Arabidopsis thaliana: one gene and its partner. The protein of the gene in region 1 interacts with the protein of each later gene in a biochemical or structural test. Each region holds a gene or a part of one and is shown on either strand. Other genes may lie near its edges.

Region 1 (7,007 bases):
CTGCAAAACTTGTCCAACACCATCAGCATCTACTGCATCCTTTGACCCTTCAGAGCGAGGACAGCCTTCAACAGAGTATGTACTTTGCTTAGTACCTTCAGCACGCTTCCTAGCTTCTTGGTCCATCTGACTCCCTGAACAACTTGCATCCACAGGTGGAACGGTTTGACCATTTTCAGGTTCACCATAAACCTTCTTGGTTTCAGAGTAACTGCCTTGGTCACTGTCATCAGAGGATGTCTTTACCATATGTAAATCTATTGAAGATGTGAGACTGACAGCAGGTGCTCCATCTTGACTTAGAGGTTGTAATTCTTCGAGATTGAGAGAACTGTCAATCATAGTCTCTGTGGAAAACATTTAGGGGGAAACAAGTAAATTACTTGAAGTAATCATGATATATACATTTACAGTGGAAAGGTGACCCCGACAGAAGCAAAAAAAAAAGCTGAACAAGGGCTACTTAGAGAACGAGAAGGCAAAACGTAAAAGTACACAGTATGAAAATAGAGTATATTAAAAGGATTAGAAAATATGTTTACCTGACTTGTCTGTTGGAATGCTGTCAGATTGAGATTCTGACTCCGCCAACTCTGAAGTAGAGCCTCCTGAAACATAGCCAACAGAACCAGACACAACGCTTTCAGATAGGATCTGAGAGTTCTTGACATCTTGATCTCTATCATTGGCATTGACAGGCAGTTCCATGCTTTGCTCGAGATTAGAAGTGCGAGCACTACCTTCATTGTCACTCTTCTTAGACACACCACCTTCTCTAGCTTCAACCATTGAGTCCATCGTTGAAATATAAACACTCTCTGAAGTTTCAAATACGTGTATCTGCGGATATGTCTCAGTCTCTATCTGAAAAGTAGACTCATGTTCACTTGTAATAACTTCCATATGTTGATGACTAAGCAACTCGGGCTTCTCAATGGAAACACTGTTTGTTATAGTTGTCAATTCCCCAGCAAGTTCCAAAGACGCTTCAACAGCTACGCTAGTATGAACAGTGCTGACAAGGAGATCTTGGCATTCGGTCCCAGAAACATCTTGTCCACCTACCTCAAGAGTAGAGGGAGCTTGGTCCCCTCTTTCTAGTACTGTGACATCAGATAGCTCTATCTCCTTCAAATCAGGCTTTGCAGTTTTGCCAATATTTTCAGCTTCCACTTTTTCAACTTCGGAAGCTGAGTCTATATGGCTATCAGAATGACCTTCAACCAAAATTGACCGTGCATCTGCAGTTAGATCATTGCGGTTATAACTACTTTGAATGTGGTCGCTGATAACATTTTCATCATTGGAAGTCTCTGGAAGTAAAGTGCTCTGATTATTCAACTCACCGCTACAAGTAATAATAGTCTGTACATTCCCATCGCTACAATCATCTTCCATCCTTGATTCTACATTGGCTTTCTCTTCTGTTTGGTCAAGAAGATTATCCGTCGTCTCAGTTCCTATTTTACCAAGATCAGTAGTATCTATAGCCTCTACCGTCGCGGTATTAGAAGTCAAGATGGAATTCTTTTCCTCCACAGATGCCTCTTCTACAGCCGTTGGTGAGTCATCTTTAACCAGAACCTGCTCCTGTCCATCATCTGTCTTTACCACAGAGGACTCTCCTGGAGTATCATCCACAGAGGGGTTGGGTTGTAAGTTCACCGTTTCCTCTTTGGAAAGACTTCTTTCATGGGATGTCTGACCAGGCTCTACTGTTTCCATTGTGCAGCCTAGTTCATGAGAAGTGTCAGATTTCTTGATAGTATCCTCTCTTACAATAACTTCGTCCTGTCCAACTGAATTCAAAAGCATTGCAACAGATTCCGACGAAGTAGCCTCAGACCAAACATTATTGTGCCTAGAAATGGCACAGGACTCCGTTGCACCTGAACTAAACACTATACCACTACTTCCACGAGAGAAATCCTCAATCCAGTTATTATCTTCGTTACCCTCAATACCAAGAAAAGCTTCAGATTCACCTAAACTATCAAACCTCAGATGCGTGTTGAGTGTATCATCAAAATCAAACTTTGGAAGAGCATAAGGCTGTAAAACTGGTGGAAATTTGTTGTTGGCTTCACCAGCTAAATGGAGATTCTGGTTTTGAAAGTCACTGTCATCATAATCCATGAGTTTATTCCTGAAATCAGAGACATATATAAACATCAAACAACCAAAAGAAACAAAAGCATAACACAACAACCGTGAAACATATTTAAAGAAGCGACTCTGGTCATTTTCTTGTCGAGTGGAGTAAAACAGTAGGAAAGCGAAAAGTACCGACACAAGAGTGTATGGAGACGCTACCTCCCTCCATTCGGTGACAAGAAAACCTGGCCGTCAGACCTCAACTGTTACCTAATCGCACGTTCATCTACTACTGCTCCACCAACAACAAAACCATACGCGTCAATTATAAAATCTCTTCCTTCTCAAAATTCAAGGGCACACGAAAACCTAAAAGAGTGAACTTTCTTAAAATGATAAATTGAAACGCTAGCGAAGAAGTTAAACTCACCGGAAAATTCAAACTGACGGAGGTGACCTAGGGTTCCGGCGAAGAAACGAGGTTTGGCGAGTGAAGCAGATTGGGAGAGAAATGCCCGATAAATTATATTCGCTTTCCTCGGCAAATGAAATGAGTCTGGTTTAAGTAAAGCCCAAAATTAAATAAATATTTGGAGAGAAAATAAAGATGGATACTGATGCCGCTTAATCCATAGTGACACGTGTCGAATTTTCTGGATCGTGTGGCTAATATTGAACTTAAACAAAAAGACGCGAAAGGTTTTTTACTTTTAAATTAACGTACGTTAAAATTTAGTGTAATTTACTGGCTAGAGTTCCGTTAAAAGAAAATTAAATGACCAAGAGGTAAAAGAAAACAACTTTTGTTTGACGTGACTGTGGTAAAAGTTAGAAGATTTATTGTTGAAATGACTATTGACTACTGATTAGTGTAATGAAGATGATTGGTTGGCTAAACAAAATGGAAAGTGTCTTAAGGATAAAATTAGAGAAGAGACATGTCACTCACTAACTAATAGATAGAGGCTTTTGTGTGTTAGGCAATTGACGGATTGGACTTTTGGACCATCAGATCAAAAGGAATCCATTGGGATATTTATATGGGCTTAGGCCCACTTTATAATTTTTTTCTGTTAGGTTTTTTTGGTATTTTGGTTTATGAATGATAGTATTTGTACCATAGATGGTTTGGTACGGTTTCGTATTGGTATTGGTTCGACTTCAAGTTTTAATCAAATGTTTATTTAACTTGAAAACAAAATTGGATTTAAAATCAGGTTTTTCTTTCTGTTTGTTTAGTTTGGATTCGAATTCAATATTTTGAATAGGAAAAATGAATTCATAATTTTAAAAAAAATATAGTTCATTTTCAGATCGATTATTTGAGTTTGGACGTTTGGTTCATAATATCAGTTTACTGGGATGGAATAATTTTCAACTTTTAAGCGGTAGTGGGTGGAAAAACATTTGTCAGGGATCGGTTTAATCTAGGATTGAGCATTCCACTTCGTTGTTCTATACTGCAAATTAAATTCATGATAATAAAAAACTATCCATAAACCATATACTAAAAATATTACTTTTAAAATTCATGGGGCGGAGAAAGTATTATAAACAACCATCCTCTCTGCAAATTTTTATTTAATGTCACCACTACTTTGGATCACTTTTCTAAGATCTTAAGTTTTCTGTTTGTTGCAATTTTATTACATGTATATGCCAATATCTCTTACACACCAACTCCAAACAAAGCAGCGGTGGTACATGAATTAACTCCTAATCCCTATTAATATTTTAGGCGTTTAGCACCTCCCAAACTAAAAAATACAAATTGTAACCAAAAAAAATATATATAGATATAAAAGAATACGACCATCTATCATAATTGGTGTGAGACAACATTAGTTTAAATGCAGGATATTAACATGACAACAGAACACTCTTATCTTCACATATTATGAAATACCTTATCCATCATTTTCATAGCATTATACCAATTGGTTGTCTTTAATCATCTTCGATGTCACTAACCCTCAAAATTCAAAAGAAAATGAATAGTCTAAATAATTGGCGGTTTGGGCGGCATCCAATTGTGACAGGCCACGTAGAGTGGGACCAACAACTTCATTACCTCGTTTGGCTCTTTGCTATATATAAAGTCAAGCATTAGTATGCCCAAAACCACACAAATAGAAATAACTTGTAATCAACCAAAGTCGAAAAACAGAGTTATTTTGTCGGATCAAAATGGTGAAGATTGAGATAGGAAGTGTGGGTGACTCCTTTAGTGTAGCATCTCTTAAGGCTTACTTGTCTGAATTTATCGCAACTCTTCTCTTTGTGTTTGCTGGCGTTGGCTCTGCTCTTGCTTTTGCCAAGCTCACATCCGATGCAGCCTTGGACCCCGCTGGTCTTGTCGCTGTCGCTGTGGCTCACGCCTTTGCCCTTTTCGTTGGTGTTTCCATAGCCGCCAACATCTCCGGCGGACACCTTAACCCCGCCGTGACACTCGGTCTCGCCGTCGGTGGCAACATCACAGTAATAACCGGTTTCTTTTACTGGATTGCTCAATGCCTTGGCTCCATCGTCGCGTGTCTCCTCCTCGTCTTCGTTACCAATGGCGAGGTACACAAAAACATTCGTAATTTATTCAATACTATTTATTTAAGTCATGTGTTATTTCTGATTATGACTGTTTTGTCCAAACGACCGTGACTAAAAAATGTTATGCCGGTCTTAAGATCCAGTTTGATTTTAAAAGGTATATGGATTAACCGAGAATGTGTTTATTTCCCGGTTATGCAGAGCGTACCGACTCATGGAGTAGCGGCCGGTTTAGGAGCTATTGAAGGAGTAGTGATGGAGATTGTGGTGACCTTTGCTCTGGTCTACACAGTCTACGCCACAGCGGCTGATCCAAAGAAAGGTTCACTCGGGACCATTGCTCCAATTGCTATCGGTTTCATCGTTGGTGCCAACATCCTCGCAGCGGGTCCCTTTAGCGGTGGTTCCATGAACCCGGCCAGGTCATTTGGACCAGCTGTTGTCAGTGGTGACTTCTCTCAGATATGGATCTACTGGGTGGGTCCACTAGTCGGTGGTGCACTTGCTGGACTCATCTACGGAGACGTCTTCATCGGATCCTACGCTCCAGCTCCCACCACAGAAAGCTACCCTTGATCAATCCTATAGCGTTTTAATTTGCTTGGCTTGCTTTTTGTTGTATGAAAATGTTTGGTCCTCGTTTCTTCCAAAAATGAATGATTGAATGTGGAGAAAAAGATCAAAGTTGTACTTTGTGTTGGTTATAAATAAGAATTGTATATTTTCAAATTTTATATCTCTGCCTTGTACTTTCTTGCATGTGTTAATGGCTAAAAATAACCGGTTTTAACTGTCCAATTAAACACTTCCAACCTTTTGATATTAAAATCACATCACACATGTATATAAGAAAATATGTTTTGGGGAATCTTTCAAATATATGCTTGAAAGGTTGACAAAAAAATCCATAGATTCAAGATATCCCAAATTGCTCAATTTTTTGTTTTGTGGAAAGGCCAATATTTCCTTATCCAAGGCCTAATACTGAAAAGGGCCCATTAGAATCCAATTAAAATTCATAAACTCAAGCTAATACACAAATTGGTCTTATTGGCTGGAGACACTACTATTGTTTAAACAACCGTTTAAGAGTACTCAACTTAAGTGATACAAATAGTAATGCTAGAAAGACATTTTAAAAATTCGTTATCCCGTGAAACCAAACCAAACGATGAAACGACAGAGTACATTAATAGAAAAACGAAATGGTCTCTTTACGTATGGTTTATTATTTGAAGGAAGCTGGTCGGTTGTGGGGGAATGAATCGTGTGAGAGCCGTCCGCTCAAAAGACAAAATGCTCTTAAACCAATGCCTTTGTCGTCTCTTTGTGGTTTCACAAACCGTCCCACCAGATTAAGATATTACCTGAATTCATGGACATTGTTCTTAACCATAACATTATCCTCTCTTTCTCCACACCTATATAAAGAACATGGAGACGAGTTCTTAAAATTTGCAAGACTCTTACGGTAAATTAAACACTTATCCAGATTTTTATTGTAATCTATATTATTGATTAGTCTGCACGTACTTTTGGGACTCGTGGTTTGAATAATTCTCTTTTCTCATAGAAAAAGAAGAAAAAAGATTCTCTTATTGTATAAGTTAGGTTTATGCTCTTCCTCTTCTCTTCCACCTGAGTCAACATCATCCTTTTCATCTTCAAAAGCTTTTTCCTTTTAAAATCATTTTCTTTATATTTTTCTTTTTCTCAGTTTTACAGTTCATTTTTTTCAAGTTTTAATTCTGAAACTCAGAGCTGGTTCTCTGTTTTGATCACATGGTTTTGTTCAGAACATAACTCTTGTTCCACCAGGACAATAAATACCATCTTCTGATCACACGTCATCTTTCCATATTCAAGAAAACTTCATTTTCCATCGGAAGATTCGTTTAGGAGAGAAAATGGAAAGTGGCTTTTATTCAGATTGGAAAGATACTTCTTCTTCTTCGTTCTTTGGATCAGAGAATATGGAGGAAGAGTTGGAAGATGGAGTTCTTAGAGCTGAAGAGCTTTTCTCATCGATTCCTCAACCTCAGACACCTAAAGAGCCAATGGAGTTTCTGTCTAGATCCTGGAGTCTCTCTACTTCTGAAATCTCCAAAGCACTTGCTCTCAAACATAGACAACAACAAGATCAGTTTTGTGTTGGCCAGAACAGTCCTCCTGTTTTGTTCCCTGATGCTGCTGCAGATCCACTCGTGGTACGATCCTTTTATCCCTTTTCCAAATTCCAATGAAACCCTTTTTCCAACTATTTCTTAGAATTATGATGAGCCTTAAAAGTCAGAGACTTTTCAATTGTATATGATTGCCATTGCACCAGTTCCTAACATAGTTCTTGGGAATTGGAATGGATAATAATA
Region 2 (6,426 bases), on another chromosome or scaffold:
ATGGATTCAACACAATAAGACAACAACAGTGAAAAGTCTAATACACAAGTTAGCATATTTGCTGAGGAAGATTTTGCACTTGCAAGGACAGATTATTACGCAAGAGGCACATATTCTACACCAAGTCAAATCAAGGAAAAGCTAAGAACCCAGTTTAATAGCATTACGACTATAAACTACGAAATTTAAAATTCTCATTTTTTAGTTTCTTCTCTTTCTTTTAGTACAGGAAGATTCCCAATGCCGTTGAAAAACAAATACCTTGTGTCTAATTCTAAAGCATTTCGTACTAAAATAATTGTTAGAATTTAATGACCAAAATCATTAACACATGTAATTGCCGCCAAATTACAAATTTTTTTATTATAAATCACCATGTTTACAAAACACATATAGTTAAGTTAACCGTTACTTTCTTTAGCTTATCTCTAAGTCTTGGAAACAAGAAGAAAAAAAAGAGCATCAAAAGGTTCAGTTATGCTTTTTTGTGTATTTGGGATTTAGGGTGTTCTTTGAGCTGATAAGGATCGACTGAAGGAGCTAACCAGAGACCCACCAGAATGATCAAGTGTAGACACAATAGCAAACCCGAGGAGGACGGTGTTGATGGATAAACATTCCAACAGAGCTCAATGCCGAGGAACATGATCAAGCTTTTACAGCCAAAAGAAAAACAAGAAGACGAGTTAGGTTTTGATATTTTAACTGTTGTTACAGTAAGAAATGCAGAAATAACTTACCGCAGCCAAGTGGGAAACGGTGTTCTCCATAGTAGATAAGGTAGCGAATAGAAGTACCTGTTATGATCATATGAGTATTGGGGTTGAGGCTAAGAATGTTCGAGAAACGTAAGATTTAGCCAGGTTATTTGGTTACCATGAGTAGAACTGGTAGTGCAGAGAGCGAGCAAATACAATGCCGATGAAATTCCCAACAAACATGGCCGTGACGACATCTGCGAATCAAGTGGAATGCCTGTAAGTATGGACATAGGGAAACATAAGCTAAAATAACAGTAAGAGCTTACGTTCTTTCGTAATAATCCGTGAGGCTGATACATCACTGAACGAGAGTGAAGACGGAAGTGTCAAGAAGAAATGCCTAGAACGCATGAAGCCTATAATCCCGCCTTCATGCCTATAAAATCAACATATTAATTACAACTAATGCTAAACACACAAACTGCAACTGCTTTCAAATTGCAGCTGCCTTATGATTGTACGTACTTGCACCACTTATAATTTGCGAACGCCACAAGGAGAAAAAGGTGAGCAATGAGCAAGCATACTGCAAATTCTTTGGACACAAAAACTCGTTCTGGAACAAATTTGAAGTTAACAGACCTGTTGAGAGCTCAAACTAGAGTTAGAGGTCAAAAGACATTTTTAGATCCCATCAACATGTTTTTTAGATTTGGCGGGAGAGAAGCGAACAATACCAGAAATGAATGAAAACACGTCCAAGATCAAAGGCGTTTGCTATGTATGAAACCGGATATGTTATCAGAAACGGCAGTCCCACGAGTATCTGTATAACCATTCATTGACCAGCTGAATGGTACTTCTTGCATAATCAAAACTATAATTCGCTGGATAATGCAACTCACCTATTTACATTGAAGAAACTACAGTTAACAAGTTTCCAAATTGTCTTGGAGAAACAATGCTACGCATACAAATTGGTGAATAAGAAGGCTTATAAGAGATATAGTGAAACCTGAACAAGAGCTGCACCAGCCAAAGCAGACACCACTCCAATGATATTCATGGCCTGTGAATAGTAAAACTTCACATATGAAGAAAAACAATGCTAGAAGAATAATAAAGCAAATCCATAAACTAATTCTCTTCCACGAACATATATACCTTAAGTAGCAGAAGTAACAAAGTTGGAGCATACAAAAGTACATTCATCTTTACAGAAACAGCTCCACTGTATAAAAAGAAGGGTAAGCAGACTAGTCAATCTAAAGAATCGAGAAGCAAAAGCAGCAATCTAACCTGAAAACAAGCATCCCTAGATGCCATTTACGATAGAGAAAGAGAGCCATTGATGCATGTAGGAGAGTCATGGCAAAACAATCATTAAAGAGACGGAGAACAAAGATTGAATGTATCCTCTTGGATAAACATAGTAGACTTAATGCCCACCATGGCACCTGAAATACGTAAGGATACAAGAAGAGATATCATCACTGAATTCACTAAAATCACTCCCATCATAAACAGACAAATCAAAACCAAAATATTGTTCATTAACATCGTAAATGGACAACGCTTGACAACGTCTACAAATACTTGATGAAAAGAGATAAGAAATAAGTCTTCATTTATACCACATCAGTCTTCACGTAGATGATCAAGACGATCCCCAGATTGACAATGTAGAGAACACCAAAAAGAATCTGCAAAATGTAAGAGAGTAGAATTGAGACAAATGAAGCGATGGATGGATCAAATTCCGCAGCTAATCCAAAGATAGGAGATTCAAAGAGAGGGAATTGCAAGCACCTGAGCAGGGTAGACTTCCCCTCCAGTTAAGTTCTGCACTGCAGAGTAAACATAGAGGAAACCTGCTGGATAAACCAATGGCCCTGTATCGCCTTTCAAGTTCCCATAGTCTCTCTCTCCCCCGAGAAACCCACTAACCTGCCCCAATTAGATAAATTTCACTTAAAGACTACTAGTTTACTTTGAAGAAACCACAGTTGACCATTGACACTTACCTGTGACATGTAAGCATCCCAATCGATCTTCGTGTCTGTTAAAGGCAAATGACGAAATTTGGTTTAAAACCTATGCAAATGCACATTTCGAGGGATACGCAAGCAAAAAAAAAAAGGAGGTAAATAGCTCTCACATGGAACATAGGCGATAATAAGTGCGACTAGGATTGCATCAGCAAGAATTAGCGCGAATGCGAATGGAACTGCAGGTTTTTTGAATAGATCGGATCGATTCGTCTCCTTCCCCAGCCGACGGCTACGAGAAGCTCTCAAACTCGCCGGTGATGAGGCGCCCGCCATGAAAACAGAGCAAATCGCATCAGCGTCTAGCCAACGCCGCGTAACAGACAACTACTTCCATATTACTACTCTTCTAATTAGCCCAAATTAAATGAGCCTATTGGGCTTCTTGTCTTAGTCGGTGTAGAGCCCAATTGTTGTTTTATTTTTTAATAATGCAAAAGTATTAAGCGATAAATAAATAAGCATCGCAATCGTCCCAAAACTGTGTGTATGCATCAGACATGAGCATATAGAGTAAGCACGTGTCCACACTTTTTCACAAAGTTATCTAAAAACAAAAAACAATTAATTAGCATTCGACGTGTACATATCACTCGCCACGTGTACAAGAGCCTTGGCCTTTTTGCTTCTTCTTCTTGTCTATTAATATCATCTCCTGATTATACTCTCTTTTGACCAAGCTGCTTCTTCTCCATCTATCCAACATCTCAAATCTCAGTAATCTTGTTCCTTCGATTCTGTTTTGGACGTTTGTAATGGATTCTCAGGACATCAGATACCGCGGCGGAGACGACAGAGACGCTGCAACGACGGCTATGGCCGAGACAGAGAGGAAAAGCGCTGACGACAACAAAGGAAAACGCGATCAAAAGAGGGCGATGGCGAAACGTGGTCTCAAGTCTCTGACGGTAGCGGTTGCGGCTCCTGTGCTCGTGACGCTCTTCGCTACGTATTTCCTCGGCACAAGCGACGGATACGGGAATCGAGCTAAGTCCTCGTCGTGGATCCCACCTCTGTGGCTCCTACACACAACGTGTCTCGCTTCTAGTGGTCTGATGGGTTTGGCTGCGTGGCTTGTATGGGTTGACGGTGGCTTCCACAAGAAGCCCAATGCTCTGTATCTTTACTTAGCTCAGTTTTTGCTCTGTTTGGTTTGGGATCCGGTTACGTTCCGCGTCGGGTCGGGAGTAGCGGGGCTTGCGGTGTGGTTGGGTCAATCGGCTGCGTTATTCGGATGCTACAAGGCCTTTAATGAGATAAGTCCGGTCGCTGGTAATCTGGTAAAGCCGTGTTTGGCTTGGGCTGCCTTTGTAGCCGCTGTTAATGTAAAGCTTGCAGTCGCGTGAGATCTGTAAACGCTATACGATGATGTTTGTAGAGTCTGAGTCATATGAGTGTTTCTTGTTGTTTTTGTTTTTTGTGATATATACCATAAAAGATGTCTTTGCGATCCAATGGTCTGGTCATTGTGGAGTAATAGACATGAACATGATATACTTGAGAAATAATGTGATATTGTAGAAGTTTTAAGCGTTGGTCTGAAATCAAACTGTGAGATTCTTAAAAGGCGATCGTTTTACTTTTATGTCGCCGAAACGGAACAAATTCAAACGGTAAAGCCAACTATACTTTGATCAGTTTTGGGTTGGGCCGTTGACACTGTTTTGTGGGCTTCTCAGTCAGTGGTAAACCTAAAATTAATATAGGAACTCGAGGATTAGGGCCCAATCCATTTTAACACGTGATGATATCATGTAAGGTTTGGAGGGAATATACAAAAAGTGGATGAATGATAGCGAACGAGAGGTCCTTGTGCTTTTTTGATTTACCCTCGAGACTCGTGCCGACGGAGTGGCCGTGGCTTTCGTGCAACAGTCTCGACCCATACCTCGACACGTGTTGAAAACGGTCCATTAAGAGTAAGACATCTGTCAATAGGACAGCTGTCCTAGAGGTCACTCGTCTCTCACAATCCAATCCCTTTCGCTTAAATTAAAACTAAAATGGAGCATGGCAGCAACATGCCACGTGGCTCACCAGTTTCAAATCTGAGCCGTCCGGTGTGATATAAGTCTTTTTAAAGAGAGAGAGAGCGGTTCGTTTGTCTGCAACGGCACCAAGTCTTTGACAATGGCTGAAGATGAAATAGTAGTCGAAGAAGAGCAATCACAGCCACAGGAGATTACTCCAGTTCCACCATCTTCTTCGTCTTCGCCTTCGTTAGTGGTGGAAGACGACGATGAGATGAAGCTCAAGCACTTGGAATTCATTCAAGTCGCGGCGGTTTACTTCGCCGCCTGTTTCTCGACCCTCTACGAGTTGGCTAAAGACAACGCTGGTCCACTCAAACTCGGCGTCGAGAACATTGAAGATTGCGTTCGAACCGTGCTTGCTCCATTATACGAAAAATTCCACGACGTTCCTTTCAAGCTTCTCCTTTTCGTCGATCGTAAGGTAACAATCAGAATGTAATTCTTAACTTGAATATCGCTTCGGTTTCATGAGTGAGAGGCAAATGATTTGCTTGGTTTTCAGGTGGACGATGTGTTCTTCGATGTTGAGACATATGTTCCGTCATTGGTGAAGCAAGCTTCTAGCCAAGCGCTCACGGTGGCCACGGAGGTGCAGCGCACCGGCGTTGTGGACACTACCAAGAGCATTGCAAGAAGCGTCCGGGACAAGTACGAGCCAGCGGCAGAGTATTACGCAGCGACGCTGTGGCGTTTACTGAATCAACTGCCGTTGTTCCCTGAAGTTGCGCATTTAGTGATCCCCACGGCGTTTTACTGGTCAGAGAAGTACAACGATGCGGTTCGTTACGTTGGCGACAGAGACTACTTTGGGGCAGAGTATCTACCCATGATTCCTATTGAGAAGATCTCTGATATTTTGGAACAAGATCAGTGTCGAGCTGATTGACTATTTACTCTTCTGAAGCCAAAGATTCCTTCTTCTATAGAGTATATATACTGTATGTACTCTGTTTTTCTTTCCTTTCTGCAATTTGCTATCCCAAGAGATGTAATCTTTCTTCAATATTTCATTTAAACAACTTTGCCTTTTAATAATAACAAGAACAAGAGACATAAAGGAAACTGTCCTCTTCAGTCTCAACTTTTATAAAAGACACAAGACCCAAAAAGTAGTATCTGTTTACTAGTAAGGAGAGTGTCTGTTTTTCTTGCGGTTCCTTGGCGGCTTAACAACCAACTCACTTGAAGTCCAAGACCGGTTAATCTCGGTAGCATCCTCATCCGACTTCCAGCAACATAGTCGCCCATCTTCACCCCCAGTCCATCCAAATAACCCTGCAGCTCCTCCATACTCGCCTGGCATCTGCAGAACGCTCCTTACTACATCTATGTGACCTCCACCAAGAATAGCTTCAGCGGTACCGATTGATCCAGGCTGTTTGTAGTTCACCGGAAAATAACCAACGGTTCCTGCGCACGTTCCACCGATCACCCATAAATCTTCACCTCCTGGACAATGACAATCAACAAAATAATCAACCTGCAAAAGAGTAATGGGAAAGTTCAACTCTGTAAGTAACCATTAGGTTTCTGGTTAGTGTTAATGTTTTACTAGAAGGGAAAGAATGAGATTGTTACATTATCTTGAGTCCAACTATCTGATGCGAGTTCCCGAGCTTTCTCTAGGTTGACTTCACAGCTTCC

What was found. Proteins that work in one complex are often made in the same cells at the same time.
Region 2: the proteins of TIP2;2 (region 1) and TSPO form a complex in vitro, tested with the Arabidopsis thaliana proteins (one study listed by BioGRID).

What each region holds. Positions count from the first base shown.
Region 1 is NC_003075.7:9,695,037-9,702,043, forward strand, and holds TIP2;2 (tonoplast intrinsic protein 2;2), read left to right. Parts: upstream 1-3,903; 5' UTR 3,904-4,281; coding exon 4,282-4,659; intron 4,660-4,839; coding exon 4,840-5,214; 3' UTR 5,215-5,436; downstream 5,437-7,007. Other genes in the region: G2484-1 protein, read right to left, coding at 1-347, 543-2,136; AT4G17350 (auxin canalization protein (DUF828)), read left to right, coding at 6,546-6,845. UniProt on the Arabidopsis thaliana protein: Aquaporins facilitate the transport of water and small neutral solutes across cell membranes.
Region 2 is NC_003071.7:19,565,197-19,571,622, forward strand, and holds TSPO (TSPO(outer membrane tryptophan-rich sensory protein)-like protein), read left to right. Parts: upstream 1-3,267; 5' UTR 3,268-3,504; coding exon 3,505-4,095; 3' UTR 4,096-4,311; downstream 4,312-6,426. Other genes in the region: ALG3 (asparagine-linked glycosylation 3), read right to left, coding at 476-653, 741-797, 877-955, 1,028-1,137, 1,227-1,343, 1,439-1,527, 1,717-1,770, 1,866-1,932 and 5 more; AT2G47780 (Rubber elongation factor protein (REF)), read left to right, coding at 4,880-5,203, 5,285-5,668; AT2G47790 (Transducin/WD40 repeat-like superfamily protein), read right to left, coding at 5,906-6,262, 6,361-6,426. UniProt on the Arabidopsis thaliana protein: Stress-induced membrane protein that can bind heme and may play a role in the transport of tetrapyrrole intermediates during salt stress and contribute to the detoxification of highly reactive porphyrins in the cytoplasm.